Linked DNA regions of Neurospora crassa OR74A. The protein of the gene in region 2 binds, or shares a complex with, the protein of the main gene of each other region. Links are inferred from orthologs where the notes say so. Each region holds a gene or a part of one and is shown on either strand. Other genes may lie near its edges. The genes, in order: NCU04606, NCU00505, NCU07832, NCU09880 and NCU11251.

Region 1 (4,198 bases), on a different chromosome or scaffold from region 2:
TTGGACCCAGAAGAATATCACGGCCGCTTGGGCAAAGGCAAGCCCCATCAACGCGTTTGCAAGAGTCGATGTGTACGCCAACAAAACACCGGGTTGTCTGAGCCCGGACCAGTTCTTTTCCGAACCACCATCGCTCTCGAGAACGACTCCTATAGCAATTCCTGTACCTAGTCCTTGCAGTTAGCATTGTCGGTACTTGGTCACAGCCTCAGTGTTGTGGTGAACGTAGGAACGAGTACTCACAGCTTATACAAAAGATCAGCGGAATTATCCCAAACCAGGGAAAACGTCTGAAGCCGCCTGGTTTCCAAGAGATCTTACCTGCGGAGTCATTTGATGAGTGTTTGATATGAGAAGACATCGGGTTTTTGATCAGCGGCTCCATGACTATCACATCAAGCTCTCCTGTGATGGACGAGCAAGAAGGTCTGGACCGAATATGTGAGTGGTAGTAAAGGGTGAAGAAGCGAGCTAGATGCCCATACTTATGAGATTTAGTCAACAGGAGGGTCTCGAAATTGCACATTGGTGGTTCGAGTGGGCGGCGCTGGAGTAGCTTTCCTTCAGTCGCCATGAGTGCTTTGAGACAGTGTATGCAGATTGGAAGCACCTTGTGTACAGACGTTCAAGTTGTGCGAACTCGGATCCCGCTGTATACTCAATCAGGGACGTGGTACTGAATAAATATACCTAGGTAGACGGCCGGCAAGGAGCTAAACCCAGCCTAAATTCATTGCAGAATAAAAAGGCATAGGCTCAGTCATCGTGTGCCGTTGTACAGCATGTTTATTGTAAACAGGAAAACCTGTGTTACGAAGTCTCGGTGAGGGAGTATATTCGCCTTGCATGGTGCCGCCTTTGCGGTTAACCTGACCGTGAAGGTTGAATGGTGCGAGGCATAAATGCTGTAGTTGCCGCACCTGCACAGAAAGAATTTAAATGGGAGGTTGAAGTTGGACATTGTTGGCTAGGCTGATCGCAGGCATTGCCATAGATGAATAATGCATTTCCCTTAGTGATGCTGCAACACGAAGAGCAGACGAGCATCTGGGTGAAGTTGTCCCACTTCACGCCTCACTGAGCCAGGCCATTTCAGTTGCCGACGGCAGGAGCGCTGAAATATCGTCATAGTTGTCTTCTATGGCCATCATGGCTCCGCTGACTGGTGATGGTGAAGACGGGAAAGGAGGTAGATGAATGATAGGAGGAAGTAAACAACGAAAGTGGAATTAAGCCGCCAAGCACTGGTGGAGTCGTAGACTGTTTACTTGGCACTGTGCCTGCCATTCGTTCGTCAAATGCCAAGAGCGCCTGGACCAGTGGCAGGCAGGCTTCAGTGCCCTGGAGTTCGACTTCCACTTCGACTTGCAGCCTGCCGGTATTTTGCCGCTAACTCAAATGTTTGGAGCTACCTCTACGGCCACCACGGTCACAATCCTAGCCACCGCGTCTCTACAATACATCACGAATACAGAAAACCGCCACCATGTCTAGACGGGATTTCCTCAGTCAACCCGCACCCGAGAACTACGTCGCCGGTCTCGGTCGTGGTGCCACGGGTTTCACTACACGATCCGATCTTGGTCCCGCGCGCGAGGGTCCTAGTGAAGACCAGATCAAGGCGGCCGTCGCGAAGAGATCTGCACAGCTAGGTCTGACCGAGGCCAAGGACGACGACAATGAAGACGATGGCCGCTATCAGGATCCCGACAACGAAGTCGGCTTGTTCGCCGGCGGCATATACGAGAAGGACGACGAGGAGGCAGATCGGATATGGAAAGAGGTAGACGACAGGATGGCGAAGCGGCGACAGAAGCAAAGGTTAGTCATTACCTCGTATACATCACTTGACATCCTACATAAATTCACAAAACACCCTTCTACCCCTTCCCCAACACTTTCAAGCAAGCATGTGGTTTATCGGTCAAGATAGATGAAAAGCAGAGTACCGACAAGAAATCGCATTTTCACAGGGAAGCACGAGAAGAAGCCGAACGATTAGAGTACGAACGAAAGAACCCCAAAATCCAACAGCAATTCGCCGGCCTCAAACGAGCGCTCGAGACGGTCACCGACGAAGAATGGGCAAACCTACCAGATCCCAAGGACCTTACCGGCAGGACCAAGAGGGCACGCCAGGCTCGCATGGAGCGCTTCTACGCCGTTCCCGACAGTGTCCTCGCTGCCGCGCGAGATTCCGGCCAGTTCGGTACCACCGTTGCAGAAGACGGCACCGCCACCGAAGGGGTCAACAAGGATGGCACAGTTACAGATTTCGCAAAGATCGGTGCGGCTCGCGACAAGGTGCTGAGGGCGCGCTTGGAACAGCAATCACAGTCGAGTAGCGTGGCCACGGCGGGAAGCGCGACGAGTATCGACCCCAAGGGCTACCTGACATCGCTGTCGAGCATGCAGGGTGCGGAACAAAGCATTGGAGACATTGAGCAGTTCAGGAAGATGCTCAAGTCGGCTGTCGACTCGAACCCCAAACAGGCAGCCAGTTGGATTGCTGCAGCGAGATTGGAAATCGCGGCGGGAAAGCCTGGTGCTGCCCGCAGCTTGATTGCCAAGGGCTGCGAACACTGCCCGAAGAGCGAGGATATTTGGCTGGAAAACATTCATTTGAACGACAACCGGAACGCCAAGGTCATTGCGGCACAGGCTATTCAAGCCAACCCACACTCGGTCAAGCTTTGGGTGGAAGCGATGAAGCTGGAAAACGACCCTAGATCAAAGAAGAAGGTTATCCGGAGAGCTCTCGATCATAACCAAGAGTCCGAGGCGCTATGGAAGGAGGCTGTCAACCTCGAGGAGGACGTCGAAGACGCCCGCATTCTACTAGCCAAGGCGACGGAGCTTATCCCGGAGTCGCTCGACCTCTGGTTGGCACTGGCCCGTCTCGAGACTCCCGAAAACGCCCGCAAGGTTCTCAACAAGGCCGTCAAGAAGCTTCCCAACTCGCACGAACTCTGGATCGCCGCCGCTCGCCTGGAAGAACAACTAGGCGAAGGCAAGAAGCGGCCCGTGATGAAGAACGCCGTCAAGTTCCTCGCCAAGCAGAACGCCATGCCCAAGCGCGAGGAATGGATCGCCGAAGCAGAAAAGTGCGAAGAGGAAGGCGCCGTCATCACTTGCAGCAACATCATCGAAGAGACGCTTGGCTGGGGTCTCGACGAGGACGATGACCGCAAGGAGCTCTGGATGGAAGACGCGCGCGCCTCCATCAACCGGGACAAGTTCGCCACAGCGCGCGCCATCTACGCCTACGCCATCCGCGTCTTCCCCAACAGCAAATCGCTCTACACGGCCGCCATCGACCTGGAGCGCAACCACGGCAGCAAGGAAGACCTCTGGCACGCGCTCGAAAAGGCCGTCGAGGCCTGTCCGCACTACGAAGTCTTCTGGCTCATGCTCGCGCGCGAGAAAGCCGCCGAGGCGGGCGTCGACGAGGCACGCCTCGTCCTTGCCCGCGCCTTCAAGCAGAACCCGGACAGCGAGGACATCTGGCTGGCGGCCGTCAAGCTCGAAGCCGACAACGGTTTCATCGACAAAGCCCGCGAACTCCTCAAGACCGCGCGCCAGAATGCGCCCACCGATCGCGTGTGGATGCGCTCCGTGGCGTTTGAGCGTCAACAAGGCGTCAACGAGGCCGCTTTGGATCTCGTCCAACAGGCCCTACAGCTCTTCCCTTCCAAGCCCAAACTCTGGATGATGAAGGGCCAAATCTACGAAGACCTCGGCCAACTTGGTCCTGCGCGGGAAGCCTACAGCACCGGCGTGCGCGCCGTCCCTTCGTCCATCCCGCTCTGGCTTCTGTACTCTCGTTTAGAAGAAAAGGCCAACAATGTCGTCAAGGCGCGCTCGGTCCTCGACCGCGCCCGACAAGCCGTGCCCAAGTCCCCGGAGCTATGGACGGAACTCATCCGCGTCGAGCGGCGCGCGGGCAACTTGAACCAGGCCAAGTCGCTCATGGCGCAAGCGTTACAGCAGATGCCCAAATCGGGCTTGCTGTGGGCGGAAAGGATCCTCAACCTCGAGCCGCGCACGCAGCGGAAATCGCTGCTTGCCGAGGCGGTGAAAAAGGTGGAAGACGATCCGATCCTGCTGGTCACGGCCGCGAGAATTCTGTGGGCGGAAAGGAAGCTGGACCGGGCGCAGAACTGGTTCGAGAAGGCGCTGTTGCTGGATCGCGATGTGG
Region 2 (3,199 bases):
CCCAAGGTGACCTCGTCTCCCCCTTTCGTCCCGGATCGGTAGATGTCCTAGTCTTCAACCCGCCCTACGTCCCTACGCCTGACTTGCCTGCGCCGCCACCGACAGGGTTGCAGGCACTGAAGGAGAAAACGACGTTTGAGGAAGACTCACATCTCTTGGAGTTGACGTATGCTGGAGGGAGGGATGGGATGGAGACGACGGATAGACTGATTGAGGCCTTGCCGGGGGTGTTGAGCGAGAGGGGGGTGGCGTATATTCTGCTTTGTGCGCAGAATAAGCCGGAGGAGGTCAAAGGGAGGATCAGGGTGATGGGTGGTGAAGGGAAGTGGAAGGCAGAGACGGTGGGGACTAGTGGGAGGCAGGCGGGTTGGGAGAAGTTGCAGATTGTGAGGGTTTGGAGGTGAATGGAGGGATGAGATGCTGGTGATGAGTTGAGGATGGGGAGGAAGCTGTTGAAGAGGGTGGAAGAGGGGGAAGGACGATGGTCAGTCACGTACAAGGCTCGAAAATTCTGGGGGAAATTTGGTATAGAGAGTTGCTGATTGTGCCGCCTTCTCCAGTAGGCATATATCGCCGTCTATCTGTTTTGTGATACATAAAATAGTTCATTCCGGTGGCGGTTGGGCGCGCCTTTCTCTCTCTCCCTTCCCGCTAGCAAAGTGATTTTATCCTGTCCAGAACGCCGCAACGAAATCCCAATGCTTGCCCTCTGCTCCGATCCGATGAGGGGGAGTGGTGTTTATGTGTGTAACACTCGATGCGAATGAGGTGAATCTCGAGTGTCGCTCAAGTGAAGATCTGGGATATGCTCCTCGATTTTCTGAAGCGCACTCATCGTCGATTTTGTCGTGTCGTCGCCACCGGACGTTATTTCGGGCCGGCCTTGATCTTCCCTACCAAGACGGTCAAGCCGGTCGACCGAAGGGGGCATAAAAAACCGAAAAAAATCCACCATTAACCGTAGTATAGCATCGTATCGTCTTTGAAAAAAAATCTAATTCGCACGTTTCTGTCGTCCAGGGAGACGTACGCCGTGGCCGATCCCAAAGAAACGAGATCCGCTTAGCCACGGCCACGACCGCGGCCGCGACCCATTCCCCTTCCTCTGCCACGGCCACCACGGCCACCTCTGCCGCCGGCGCTGCGGTCCGCTTCCTTTCTCGCCTTGTTCTTGGGCTTCACGGAATCATCAACTAGCAATGTATCGAGCGGCAAAGAATCGGGGAGTATGAAGTAACGGATGGTCGAGCCCCTGTAGGGTTTCAATAGTTAGTGATGCCCTCGAAAACTGAAAAGGGCCACTCCCCCTTAGTTGAAAGGGTTGATTTACCTAATGTTCATGGCATCTAGAGCCACAGCGTCCTGGCCCTTGGGGGTCATCTTGACGTTGCGAAGCGCAGTGTCCATGCGGGGTGTGACCGAGGCGATAGTGCCGTGTACAATTGTGCCGTTCTTCAACTCAATCGTCACCGTCTCGTTGGCGCATTTCATCAAAAATCTGCAGTGTTGAAGTAACGGATTCCACTTCGTCAGCCTGGTGCCCTTGGTGTTCTTTTTCTAGTAGAGCAGCATGGACGCGCGCGAACACGGGCTGGCAGCCTTGAAGGCGAGGACTCAAAGCTCAGCATGCGTCGTGCAAGAGAATAGGAATGAAGTCGGGTGGGATGGGGTATCGGGTACATGTAGCGAAGTATCAGAAAGCAAGGAGAAATCTTACCTGACCAGCTTCATCTTGACTTATTTGGACAACGCGTAATCGAATATGTGTTGTATGGAATTGGTGGTGACAAGGTCTCGATTACCAGCTTGTTACTTTGTCAATCAACAGTCGCGACGGGAGAAGGCTTGTCGAGCTTCCTTGGACGCTTGCACAACCATCCAAGCGTCAGGGTGGAGCAGATAGCCTGCCGTCGCTACGCGCCAAGATAGAGCCCGTGCTCAATCACGTGAGCCGAGCTGAACAGGCAAACGGCGGCTTGAAAGCCCCTAACCCTGGAAGTCATGGGTTTCAAGCTATCCATAAATTGCCTGCCCTGCACATGATCTGTTCATGTGCTGAGTTGAAGCAACCAGATAATTGGGGTACACGAAGATGGGCTGGCTAACTGCCACGCCGAACAACAAGGTGTTGTTTACTATGACTTTGTCTCTGAAGCTATAGCTGTAGTTGCACAGATCATGATGCCTCATGGCAGGATAAGGACTATGAAACGAACATAGGGCTTACAGCCTTCAACTGCCTCTCCTTTCATCCAATGAAGAACGAAAACAGGGTGGATGTGTAAATGCCATCGTCGCTCAACTCCAACACGAAAGCGGACCATGACACTATTTACAGGATGCCATGGTAACTTCGCTAACACGACATTCGCTTGTACGTTCTGCGTGTGGTCGGTCCCCGCTCAATCGCCAGGATATTCACTTGTCCTTTTCGTTCTCGTTCTCCGAAACCTTCTCCCACTCATCTTCCGTGCTGACGCCGCTCTTAGTGCCCAGGCTCGGTGTCTCCTCAACCACTCTGTGCTTCAGTTCTCCAATCTGCTGGATAGGCTCAACCTCATGGCTGACCGCCTCTGCAATTGACTCCTGCCTCGTGAGGCTAGCTGTCGATGTAGCTGCCTCTACTTCTGTTTCGCTGTCTTCCGATGTGACTGGAGTTGGCGCTGCTTCTTTGGCTCTTCTCGCCTTTTCCTCTTCTTGGATTTGGTGCACCTTCAGTTCCGCCGCGAACCAGTTGATGGATCCCCAGAGTCCACCGCAGAGAGCCGAGAGAATTACGAAGTGGATACTCCATGTCGCAAAGAGGAGGCACGCCAGGACAATTTGCAGAGCGGCAAATGTGACATTTGTCGCGATAAGGAGGGTGGGAGTCGGCCCCGGAGTGAAGATCGACTCCCAGAGATTTGTAACGAAGGATGTCATTGGGAAGATTAGGCTGGCGCTATGTCGGCGTTGAAAAGTTTGACCGTGAAGGTATGTCGTGTAGAGGAAAATTCTTGTTGTCGATTCGTGTTCAGGACGATGCGCCGTGGAAGCGATGCGGACAAACGAAGAGACAAACTCGCAGTAAAGTCAATGGTTCGTAGTGGATGACTACAGTCGAAGAGAGGGTTAGTCACGGCCTCACAACCTTTATAAATGACGAGGGACAGAAGGCAGGGGACGGATGAGGATGTGCAGCCCAACCAGACAAAGCCCG
Region 3 (2,766 bases), on a different chromosome or scaffold from region 2:
GACTCATGCTGTCGGTGGTGTAGTCCAGATACTTGGCCCTGACGTATCTCTCAATATCGTGAGAGTCGTAGTCACCATAGCGAAGCTGAACATCAATCCAAAACTTGTTCGTCGTAGTAGACTCGATGACATCCTTGGTATCGAAAAGGAGCGATGGGCGAGTAACGTTCCATTTGTGGCTGGCAAAGAGCTGGATATCCGCGCAGGAGCTGTTCATCTTGTAAGATTTTCTGGGATGAATGGTTTCCTTTTGAACCGATTCGATGCTTAGAGCCTCAAGCTCCTGATCGAAGACCTGGCAAAGATCCATGACCACTGACTCGTGGATCTTCTGCCACAGATGAGCTCGGAAGATCTGGATCAGGGAGATCTTGAGAGTAGGAATCTTGCCGTGCAAGAAGATACCAGTTAGATCCAACTGCACTTGGAAACCGACGTAGACATTGGCTCTGTTGATGGTAGGCGACCACCAAAGCGTGAAACGACGATTAGGAATCTGGTTGAGACCTGCGTATTTCAAAGTCAGTATTTGTGCGTGCATATGATGATGAATTCATGCTAGAGAAATGGTATGTTGAACTTACCGCTCCTCTGGGCATTTGTCAACTTCTTGAACTTCATCGACTCCTCGAAACCACTGGCCTTCTCCCAGAAGAGACCTTCCCAAGACGGGAAACCAGTTGCCTTGAACAAGGTATGCTCCAAGATGGTTTCGACACCACCAAGCGCCTGGATGACATCGGTACGGTATGCGTTAAGGTTCCAAAGTTTACCGTCATGCCTCTGGCTTGTCCACCAGAAGGGATTGCTCTTCATCAACTGATAGATCTTGAACTCGGAACGGGCACGGAAACCCTTGTCGAAGCTTAACGTGCTACGGTCCTTTTGAAAAAGAGTGTTTATACGGGGCAGACCGCGATCCCAGCTGTCCTCCAGATCCTCTAGGGTCAATCTGCGGTTCTGCTGGTTGGCCTCGAGACGCTTCTGCGAGTATTCCGTCCACACACGCTGGGAGTCGATAAACTCAGCTTCCCACGGGATGATGTAGCGGAAGATGTTGGGGATCAGCGTTTCCTCATCGTGCGACATGCCCGCACGGTAATGAGTAACTCCGAGATCTGTCTGTTTAGACCAGCGCTTGTCGCTAGTAGGGATAAGGATGTGTGATCCGGAAATCATACCCAAGCCACCAAGCTCCTTGGGAGTGTAGAAAACGGCAGGAGGGAAACGGGAAGGCATCTTGGAGTTGAGACCAATTTTGACACGAGTCTGGATTTTGGTTTCACACTTGACAATCGTGTCAAGCAGGTTCACGGTCGAAACAGCAGCCTCGCGGTAGTAAGTAAAGAGGGCAATCAGCGCCGTGTTCCACTTGTTAGCAATCTTGGTGAATGTGGTCGAGCCAGACGACATGAGAATCTGACGGATCCTGTTATTGAATTTCTGAATGTCCTCTTCGGTAACTTGTAGGAAAGCGTGAGCGGTGCGTTCCTTGGTCGTGTTGTCCACTAGTGACCAGACACTGTCTTTCACAGGGAACTCATCGTTCTGGTTGCGGATCTTGGGCAAGATGCGCACTTCGAAGCCGCACATGGAGAACAGGAGGTTCGGGTTATCCCTGCTGTACACGCTGGCGAAGGTGTCTTCCCATTCAATCGTCGTCACGGATCTTGGGAGGCGGTTCTTGAGATCCCAGAACACAGCTCTGCCGAGGTTGACGTCGTGCCTCATGAGACGCATACGCGAATCTCTGGGCCAGCACTTCTTGCTCTTGTAACCAATCACGTTCTCGAAGTTGGGATCAGGCTGCTCTGTCAAGAATCGCTGGATCAGGTCGCGAGATTCATCCGCGGTGAACCTCAAGAACACCCAGATCTTGTCGATGTACCTGGTGTACAACCTAATCGGGTGTCTTGTTTCAGTCTCCCGGTCCTTGAACTGAAGGAAGTCATTGGGTGCGTGGGGAGGACCGGCAATCTCGCTGGCACGCTGCGGGCCAAGCAACAGCAAATCGAGAATGAGACCATAGTACTGGAAAACGAAGGCTGAGAACTGCAGGCCACGAATCATACCATAGCTGTTGACATGGTTCATGTCCTTGTAAGTTAGGGTAACGTTATTCTTGGCCGTGATGTAGTCCGCAAGGTTGTGGTCCATTATCAACCGAAGAAGCGAGTTGAGCAAGGTCAGCTCAATCTTCTCGTAGACCTTGGAGAGCTGCGTCTCGATCATGACATTGCACTCGCCATTCGCGGTCTCCCAAACCCTGTCGAGGTTGTTAATGCCTTGAGCCCACTTGTACACAAGCAAAGGTGGCACCTCCGAATCGGAAGGCTTAATCCAAGCGGGGAACAGATGGCGCTGGTCAGCTTGATACCACAAGTACTGGTCGAGATAAGCATCGCTAATCTTCTCGATCGGTTCAATATCATAGACCGGGTTGATGGTGCTGTAGTTGTCGTTCATATCGATGCCGACTTCCTTGAAAGCTCTTTGAGTGAGTAGGAAGCGTTTGATACGCTCGAGGGTAGTGCCTGGACTGTCATATGCCTGCTCAATCAAGGCCAACTCCTCACGCTGACTCTGGTTCAATCTTCCCTTGGTCGAGTAAGCCTCACGTAGGCGCTCCAGCGCCAAGATAAGGATCTTGGTGTCATGCTTGTAAGACACACTGGGGAAGGGGATGGGAGAGAATTTTCTCGATTCAAGCCAGTGCACCGTAGTAGTGTAAATGGCAACAGCCTCCTCAGAAGAGACGTAGGGACC
Region 4 (3,847 bases), about 1.8 Mb from region 2:
ACTATGATGAATGAATGGAACAACGAAGCGAGCACAGACTGATTTGGGAGATGTGGGCATTCTTTGGTGGAAGTTACGCCGTGACGTATAAATCAGAATAGCTCTCAGGTGTCGCTGGGCTGTTGGAGGGAGCGTCTTGCTACTGTATACCTTATAAACGCCGTGGTTTAACCTTTTATCAATCTTCCATACAACGACATGTATATTGATTGGTGCGCTTTGTCGCAGGTGTCCTGGTGCTGCAACTTACACACCTCAACAATTCGTTATGTGATATCCCCCTATATGCCGGGCCGAGTAAACCAAGATGTCGGAGCTATCAGTTATCTACGGGTAAATGGCGAGGGGCATGAATATGGGTAATAAGAAAAATAACATGCTCATGGTTACTAAATTGCATAGAAGCGACGAGACCAGGCAGTATGTCGCGTTGATGAGCTGGTGAAGAAATCATCTTGTCGTCCCCCCTTAGCCGCGATCTCCTGAAAAACTCCATGGAGTAATAGGATAGGAAGGACTACCTCCGGATGCGGTATCCCATCTACGGCATCAGAGGATCCGATCGTACGAGACAAGTGATTTATGATAGGACGTGACTGCCGAGGACATGTCCCGCGAGATGAGTATTGGCGGCGTGGCTTGCTGAAAGATGTGACTAGATCTCAGAGCCGCCCCAATCCAGTGTGGCAAACAAAGAGTTTACCCCTGACTGCCCTTCATATACCGGACAATGCATCAACGGTACATTTCTTCCGCTTAACCTAAGAAATCAGTCAATGAGAAACCAACTCAGCAACGGCCTCAACATGACGATACACGTTCACGAACACTGCTTGCGCATGGCTAGGCGCGAGGATGGTACACCGTGGTGGGCAGCATTTCCAGAGCCAACTTCGACGCCGGTCCATATCGAGCCCCAGACTGTCCTCGAGCTTCTTGAGCAGCAAGAACATGTCGATGACATGCCCCAATCGCGCAGATTGCTGCTTGTCGATTGTCGCCGGACAGACTGCGCCGGGGGAACTGTCAGCTCATCAATCAACCTGCCCGCCCACAGCTTCTTCCCCACGCGCAAGAGCTTGTACGCTTTGTGCAAACAGGCCGGGATCCAAAAGGTGGTCTTCTATTGTGGTACGTGTTTGACTTTCTCTGTCATTGACTCTTGGGACAGAGTCCAATCAATCCTATGCTCTTTTGAACTCGTACCTCTACCGCCGACCCTCTCTAACACCGATGCTTCTTCCCCCAGGCTCCTCCGCTGGTCGGGGCCCTCGATGTGCCGCCTGGATGCAAGACTATATCAACGAAGTAGGCGGCGATCTTCAGTCGCAGGTCATGACGGGCGGGATTCGAGGCTGGGTGCGGATGTACGGCGACCGCATGGTGGACGGTTATGACGAGAAGACGTGGAAGCAGCTGTTGTCGGAGAAGAGCTGTACGTGATGAAAAACAAAAAAATCCTTTGGGTATCTTTTCTTCGACCACCGCCGCAGATGTTTCCCTTTCTAAGTTGAAGATAATGCAGCTTTCCCGAATACATGCCTCGTGTGAAACTGAACGCCGTACCAGCCAACCCACCTAGCTTTTCACCGTCCAAGACCGCGTGGAACACTGTAGATGTCGTCGTAAAGTGTAAATCGCCTTGGTATATAGTCAAATCCCGTCAATTGCCATCCGCTTATTCCGATGCCTCGCCTTTTGATGTAGGCGTTTGTAGATGCGCAGGGTCGTTTTATCGTGTTGCGAGAAGATGATTGTTGATTAGCCGCGCTGTCCTCCCCTCTCATCGCCGCCGATTCTCTCGAGAGCCTCCATCATCACAACGGAGTTACCACGAATGGTCTGTGTGCACATTCGTCAGCAGGAGACACGTCAGCACCTTTCTACAATGATAAACATACCACCATGCCAAGCTTGACCTTCTCACCACCATCCTTCTCCTCAACAGCATCGTCCAAAACAATGTTCAAGAAGACCTATGACGTCGCGAACCGTCAATCATCATGTTCGAATTCGTAAAGGGGAGATCTCGTACATCGTAGCCACGGAGAACACCAATGACCTTGCGGCTGCCGTTGAGTTGGACGAAGAGCCTCTTGTCGAGGTACTGGTTGGAAAGTGGTCGGTTAGCTCACTACACCATACTAAACAAACAATAACATGGAGTTCGAGATGCGACAATGGCATAGTCTCGACCAGCCAGCTGCCATTCAGCGTGAAAGGCAATTCTCCAAGAGTAAGTTCTTACCTTCTTCAGTTCAGGTTGTGCGGGCGCCATTGTATCTTGAGGTTGTGTTGGTTGTCTGGGATGGTCTCGAGAGAGTTGCTGCAATGAATGGCAATGGCGTCGTTCTGGCTGGGAACTCTCCACTGAAACAACCTGGAAGGCGGGCCTTGTGCAGCGCGTGCAATCGCGACCATCCCCAGTGATTTTCGGCCGCCAGGCCATCACGTGGGGACACTGATAAGATAAGAAACCGCAATTCGCGTTGCCCGTCTTTGGGTGATTGCAGTGTTCAGTGCAGTGGTGACATCCAGTCGCCCACCAGCGTCATTCTCCAGGGTGCATTTCGAAGCTTCCTAGCTGTCTGGACACCTTTTTGCACTACAAACTTACCTGTAAACAACACGCCCGCCTCAATACTACATCACTGTATTACAAACTCCCTGTCAGACAACCTACTTCCATTCTACACTTTACTCAAGTCGATCATCACAAAAATGAGCTCTTTTGGAAAGCGCAAGCCACGCATTATCCAGACCTTTGACGATGAGGATGGCGACCTTCCTACGGTGCTTGGAGGAGAGGAGCCGAAGAACGAACGTAAGTTGCTATATGGCCATGCCCATCCCTTTCCAGCATAGAAAATCTCAGTGCTGATACCAAACCAAAGAACAAGCAAGCTGATACGCCTTCGAACAGAACCAGTACCGCAAGGACCGACCAAGTTTGGGCGCAGCAAGCCTACTAAATCTTCGTCACTACGAAGAACGATCAAGATCAACGACGGTAACGATAATCCACAAGAAACCAGCGGCGACGCAATCCAACCTACGTCAACCAGCACAAGTACGGCACCCGAGGTAACAGAAGCCGAGGAGGACACTGGTGTGCCGCTCGTAGTACGGCCCGGTTTCGGCCGCTCAGTCTCCAGCAAGAAGAAGCGCATCTCAAAACTATCATTCGGAGCCAGCGAGGGCGACACGGAAGATGGCGGCAATGATACGACAACAACTGCCAGCAGCGACGTGGTCAGCGCCCCAAGCAAAAAGTCGCTGAGCCAACGAGTTGCCGAGAAGAACGCGCTTCGCAAGTCCGCCCTGACCGCACGATTCGGCACATTTGGCGCCGACGAAGAGAAGCCTCGGTACAGCAAAGAATACCTTGAAGAACTCCAAAGCTCCACGCCAGCCACACCACAGAATCTCGCCTCGCTAAGCATCATCGACGACGATGACGACGACAGCCTCAAAACCCACAGCGCACCGTTGCCGGAGGCATCTGCCGCGCCCGGGACAACGGGCGACGCCATGGACCTCGACCCCTCTGAGCTTGACGGCGCCATGATTGTTCAATCCCGCGACATGCCCCTAGCGCTCACTGGCGATGCCCCAGCAGCCCATGTCCTCACCGAAGCCGAGATCCGCGAGCGCAAAGAGCGGCGCGCGCGCCTTGCCAAGGAACACGATTTCATCGCACTCGACGATAGTGACCACTCCGACAACGACGACCGAAAACGCATCACGTTGAGTCTCAACAAAAAGGCCAAGAAATCCGAATCGCGCCTCATAGCCGAAGACGAAGACCTAGGTGAAGGCTACGACGAGTTCGTGACTGACGGCTCGC
Region 5 (3,868 bases), about 3.3 Mb from region 2:
TGGTTCCCAAATAAGCGAATCCTCCCCGTGTCGCCCTTCAGACAGCTTTGAGCGGGTTGATGCGCATGGGGACTTGAGCTGCCCGGATGCTGTGAGTTGAGGGTATTGTGAATGACGTCTCTCGCGATAAATACCGGCTGGGGATAAAACCACTTGAAAATGCAGAAATGCGAGAAACGAAGAAGTCAAAGGTTCGAAAACGGACCAACGCTACAAGTTCCCGGTGATGGCGTCTGCTGCCATTGTTTTATCGCCCTTTATCAGAAAGCCAAGCTTCGCACGATGGACCGTGCGTCACCATTTCCCAGGGTGCCAGGGTGACTTTACCAACGCCAACCAACGCGAGCGGCAGGTGTCCCGCCCAACCCTGCCCGCGTCACTGCAGAAAAGAAGGGAGAAGGAATCTCAACAGGCCCACTTTCGCGGTCAGGTGACACCCCTTATCCTTACCGGGTCAGTGAAACGCAACCACAAGGCAACTCAGACGCATGTACCAAAGGCAGCTTGTTATGGGCACCCAGTTGTGGTTGTTGATCTACAAATTGAGACGGCTTCTATGCAATCTATCTGCCGATACTGTCTCTCGTGGAGCGGTAAGCCAAGCCCTGGCCTGTCGCTTGCTGAACGCCCTCCTTGGTGTGTTGCTCCTATGCGAGAGGCAACGACAAGATTCTTGTCGCGCACATGATTGATGTCTGCTCAGGAATCATACAAGCTCCTGGAGTCGTTTCTTCCCCAAAGTTTGACCGTCCGGTCATGGCCACCGCTTACAATCCATTTTCCATCCCGGCTAACGTCAACACTCGCAACAGGCCCTGTGTGGCCGCTGAGAGACTGAACCAAGGCCCAGTCGTCAGCGGAAAATATGTTCACCTTGTGGTCAAAGCCTGCCGACACCATAAAGGTGCCGGATTTTTTGGGAATTTGCATTCCCTTTTCATCTTCGCCAGGAGGCACTCCTTCCAACGGGTCATCCAACCCCTTGAACCACCGCACGTCGGCCACTGCACTTGTATGGGCACCAATGCCTCCAATTCTTTCCACTTTTCTAACGTCCCAGCATTTGATCCAACCATCAGCAGACGCCGTGAGCACCCTGTAACCGTCCGAGCCCCAGTCCAAACCATAAATAGGCTTGATATGGCCGTCCTGATGCCCATCTAGAATCATGGCAGTCCGTCCTGTCCGCAGATCCCAGATTCTTCCGATACTGTCCAAACCCGCGCTAGCGAGTAGCGATCCGTCACTGTTATAACTGACAGCGTATACACCGCGAGAGTGACCTTCCTGGAGAAGGAGCTCGGTGCCGGTTTCAACATCCCACATCCTCCATGACGTGTCTTCTGAGGCAGAAGCCAGATACTTGCCCGATGGATGGAACTCTACACGACATACTCGTTGCGAGTGTCCTGAGAGAGTTCTCAAAGGCGTGTCTTGGTTCAAAGACCAGAGATGAATCTGGCCTTCCGCTCCTCCGGAAGCGAGATTGACTGTGTCGGGAGAAACATTGCGCTCCGGCAGTGTAGCTCCAGGCATCCAGCATAGGCCGCTGACTTTGTTGGTGTGGCCCCTCAAAGTCTTCCTTGGCTCAAGGGTTGGGATTTCGATGAGTTTGACCTGTCCGCCCCAATTGCCAGTTGCGACCATGTTTCCATCAGGCGAGATCCTTGTCATGCTGATGTGCCGCTCTCCTGCCGTTTGACTGCCTTGCAATTCAAACCCTTGAAGCTTCTCCTTGATCTCTTTTCGGTGTTTGACATGTGTCCGCAGTGGGATGGTGGACTCCTTCTTCTGGAACTCGATGCGCTTCTTAGCTCTCGGGATTGAGTAGTGAGCGATGTCGATGCGGGCCTGGAGCAGTTCCGGGCTTCCAGTAGTGTAAAATTCCTCCTCTTGGTCGCCGGCTTCATCTTCCTCGTTTTCGGCGTCCCGCATCTCCACATCGGCACTTTCCTGACCTCCCTTTTCGGCTTGTTGTGTCATGAGTTCTCGTAATCTGTCGCGTCTGTCTGCCGGACCCTCGCCGAAGAGGGTGACAGGCTCGCCCATCTCTCGCAATTTGGCTCGTACCCGGCCATCGTCGGTAGGAACAGCAATCGAAGCCGCTAATCGTTTTCGTTCAAACTGCGATAGAAGAACGGAGGCCTTCTCTGGGGCAATACCAGCCCCAGCACCGGGGATGTCGTAGTCGCGATCGAGGGCTAACACGCAAATCAGTCATGGGTTGGAAGCCATACAAGAGTTTTGGGGACTTACGGACGGAGTCTAGATCCATGCCTCCGCGATCCTGCTTCAGGGGGGGTCAGTCCGGGCTCTGTTTGCAATGTTGAGCAGGTGCCTTCAATGATGCGAGGGGCGCATATAGAGCATGGTCTTACCTCAGGCTCGGCCTCCTCCACGTAGGCTCTACGCGCCGGATGCATAGTGCTAAACTTTCGGTGTTTGTTCGTTTGCTAAATCTTCTGGACACTTGAACGCGAGTAAAGCCAGGTGATTCGAGTCCGGCTTGTGGTTGCTAAAGGACCGTTTGATGTGAGGGCTCGATGTTTTGCTTGCTGTCGTGAAATAGCAGGTGATGCAATCACAGGGAAGTTTACAATGCTGGCGCCGTTGCTGTTGCGGGAGCTCCACTAAAATTTCCGGCGCATCTTCGACCCTAACCCTCAACAAGCTGTCCCACCTGAATGCGCTCATCTCGGTCCTAGCACCACGGGCACCTCGTCTTAAGGTGAACCAACGAATCGCCATGAAGCTTTCACCGATCATTCAAAGAGGTACTTGAAATTTCAAAGTTTCATGTGATATGTGATAGATTCCTTGTTGGTGTCAACATTCGTTAATACCCACTTCGCACACGGTAGGTTTGGTCCGAGGTGACATGGAAGCGCGATCACAAACGGTGCGGCCAGTTCCCCCTTCCCAGCCCGTCGATCAATGCGGTTTAATGACCGCCAATCGAGCCCCGGCTGTTCGGATTCCCCAGACTTGTCAAAACTGAAGATCGGGGTCGGCATCCAGCGGCCTTGGTACACTACACTACCTATACACACATGACACCTGCCGTGTGGTATTGGAGGTTCATTTCTGGACATGGAGAGCAACATGGGGCTTTTTTCAGGTTGAAAGCTAGTGTGGAAAAAGCCTGGAAAATGGCCGATGGTGCATTCCCTTTAATGCGGGTGAGACGTATGTCTGATGTCTCTCACCCGATTTTCACGTGCTCTCGCCAATTCCTCCTGGGACATGGAACGCCCGCCAATTCCTCCTTTTCCTTTAAGTTCACCAGACCAATCCAGCTGGTCTTTCCGCCCTTTCAGTTGCTCGCCTGCCCGGCCTGCCCGGCCTGCCCAGACCGTGACGCATGATGTGAACGCTTTTCTCTTTATCGTGGTTGGCTCAATGGCGGGATATTTGGGTGAGGCGGACGCGGCCCCCTGCCCGGCTAGTGCATTCCAGTCCCTAGGGGTACTAAATTGTGCATAGGTAATACCCAAGGTCACAAACCCGGTCCAGGCCCATCCTAATTCACTGCAGGTGCAGAGTCCGGGCTCCATTTTATTTTAACTTCTGCTGCCCACGGAACTCCATTTCATTGTTGCCATTGTCGACCTCTCTCTTCGCACGCTCCCCCAGTCACAACTCTCTTCTTTTTTCTCTTTTCTGTTTTTTTTCTCTTTCTCTCTCTCCTTCTTGACAGTAAAAACCACATCTCATCGAGCCTTTCCACCCTCAATGCATATCGAGAAGACCGTCGACGACAATTCCACTTCCTTCTTCAAGTACCAGATGCGTGCGATTCCAAGCCATCAAGGACCCAGTTTGACCACCGAACACCGCGCAGACGCTCAGCGACGCAGAGGCGAGCCTT

The links.
Region 1: NCU00505 (region 2) and NCU04606 share a complex: the UniProt entries of both Saccharomyces cerevisiae proteins name them as parts of the U4/U6-U5 tri-snRNP complex. The link is inferred for Neurospora crassa OR74A from reciprocal best matches to the Saccharomyces cerevisiae genes SMD1 and PRP6.
Region 3: NCU00505 (region 2) and NCU07832 share a complex: the UniProt entries of both Saccharomyces cerevisiae proteins name them as parts of the U4/U6-U5 tri-snRNP complex. The link is inferred for Neurospora crassa OR74A from reciprocal best matches to the Saccharomyces cerevisiae genes SMD1 and PRP8.
Region 4: NCU00505 (region 2) and NCU09880 share a complex: the UniProt entries of both Saccharomyces cerevisiae proteins name them as parts of the sm core complex. The link is inferred for Neurospora crassa OR74A from reciprocal best matches to the Saccharomyces cerevisiae genes SMD1 and SMX2.
Region 5: NCU00505 (region 2) and NCU11251 share a complex: the UniProt entries of both Saccharomyces cerevisiae proteins name them as parts of the U4/U6-U5 tri-snRNP complex. The link is inferred for Neurospora crassa OR74A from reciprocal best matches to the Saccharomyces cerevisiae genes SMD1 and PRP4.

The regions. Positions count from the first base shown.
Region 1 is NC_026505.1:1,527,874-1,532,071, forward strand, and holds the start of NCU04606 (pre-mRNA splicing factor), read left to right. Parts: upstream 1-1,393; 5' UTR 1,394-1,486; coding exon 1,487-1,821; intron 1,822-1,933; exon of another isoform or gene 1,934-1,973; coding exon 1,974-4,198. UniProt on the Saccharomyces cerevisiae protein: Participates in pre-mRNA splicing. Part of the U4/U5/U6 tri-snRNP complex, one of the building blocks of the spliceosome.
Region 2 is NC_026501.1:8,193,166-8,196,364, reverse strand, and holds NCU00505 (small nuclear ribonucleoprotein Sm D1), read right to left. Parts: upstream 1,859-3,199; 5' UTR 1,732-1,858; coding exon 1,718-1,731; intron 1,600-1,717; exon of another isoform or gene 1,499-1,599; coding exon 1,331-1,498; intron 1,253-1,330; coding exon 1,063-1,252; 3' UTR 513-1,062; downstream 1-512. Other genes in the region: NCU00504 (hypothetical protein), read left to right, coding at 1-404; pkr1 (ER membrane protein), read right to left, coding at 2,419-2,922. UniProt on the Saccharomyces cerevisiae protein: lays a role in pre-mRNA splicing as a core component of the spliceosomal U1, U2, U4 and U5 small nuclear ribonucleoproteins (snRNPs), the building blocks of the spliceosome. Also binds telomerase RNA and is required for its accumulation.
Region 3 is NC_026503.1:1,010,073-1,012,838, reverse strand, and holds part of NCU07832 (pre-mRNA processing splicing factor 8), read right to left. Parts: coding exon 585-2,766; intron 508-584; coding exon 1-507. UniProt on the Saccharomyces cerevisiae protein: Functions as a scaffold that mediates the ordered assembly of spliceosomal proteins and snRNAs. Required for association of BRR2 with the spliceosomal U5 snRNP, and the subsequent assembly of the U4/U6-U5 tri-snRNP complex.
Region 4 is NC_026501.1:6,357,874-6,361,720, forward strand, and holds NCU09880 (small nuclear ribonucleoprotein SmG), read right to left. Parts: upstream 2,393-3,847; 5' UTR 2,279-2,392; coding exon 2,249-2,278; intron 2,108-2,248; coding exon 2,036-2,107; intron 1,977-2,035; coding exon 1,902-1,976; intron 1,843-1,901; coding exon 1,762-1,842; 3' UTR 1,444-1,761; coding exon of another isoform or gene 1,250-1,443; 3' UTR 1,132-1,249; coding exon of another isoform or gene 807-1,131; 3' UTR 503-806; downstream 1-502. Other genes in the region: NCU09881 (hypothetical protein), read left to right, coding at 1-14; NCU10125 (hypothetical protein), read left to right, coding at 807-1,131, 1,250-1,443; NCU09879 (hypothetical protein), read left to right, coding at 2,722-2,824, 2,924-3,847. UniProt on the Saccharomyces cerevisiae protein: Plays a role in pre-mRNA splicing as a core component of the spliceosomal U1, U2, U4 and U5 small nuclear ribonucleoproteins (snRNPs), the building blocks of the spliceosome.
Region 5 is NC_026501.1:4,871,905-4,875,772, forward strand, and holds NCU11251 (pre-mRNA splicing factor), read right to left. Parts: upstream 2,581-3,868; 5' UTR 2,424-2,580; coding exon 2,379-2,423; intron 2,315-2,378; exon of another isoform or gene 2,291-2,314; coding exon 2,257-2,290; intron 2,202-2,256; coding exon 700-2,201; 3' UTR 504-699; downstream 1-503. UniProt on the Saccharomyces cerevisiae protein: Involved in RNA splicing. Is required for the association of U4/U6 snRNP with U5 snRNP in an early step of spliceosome assembly.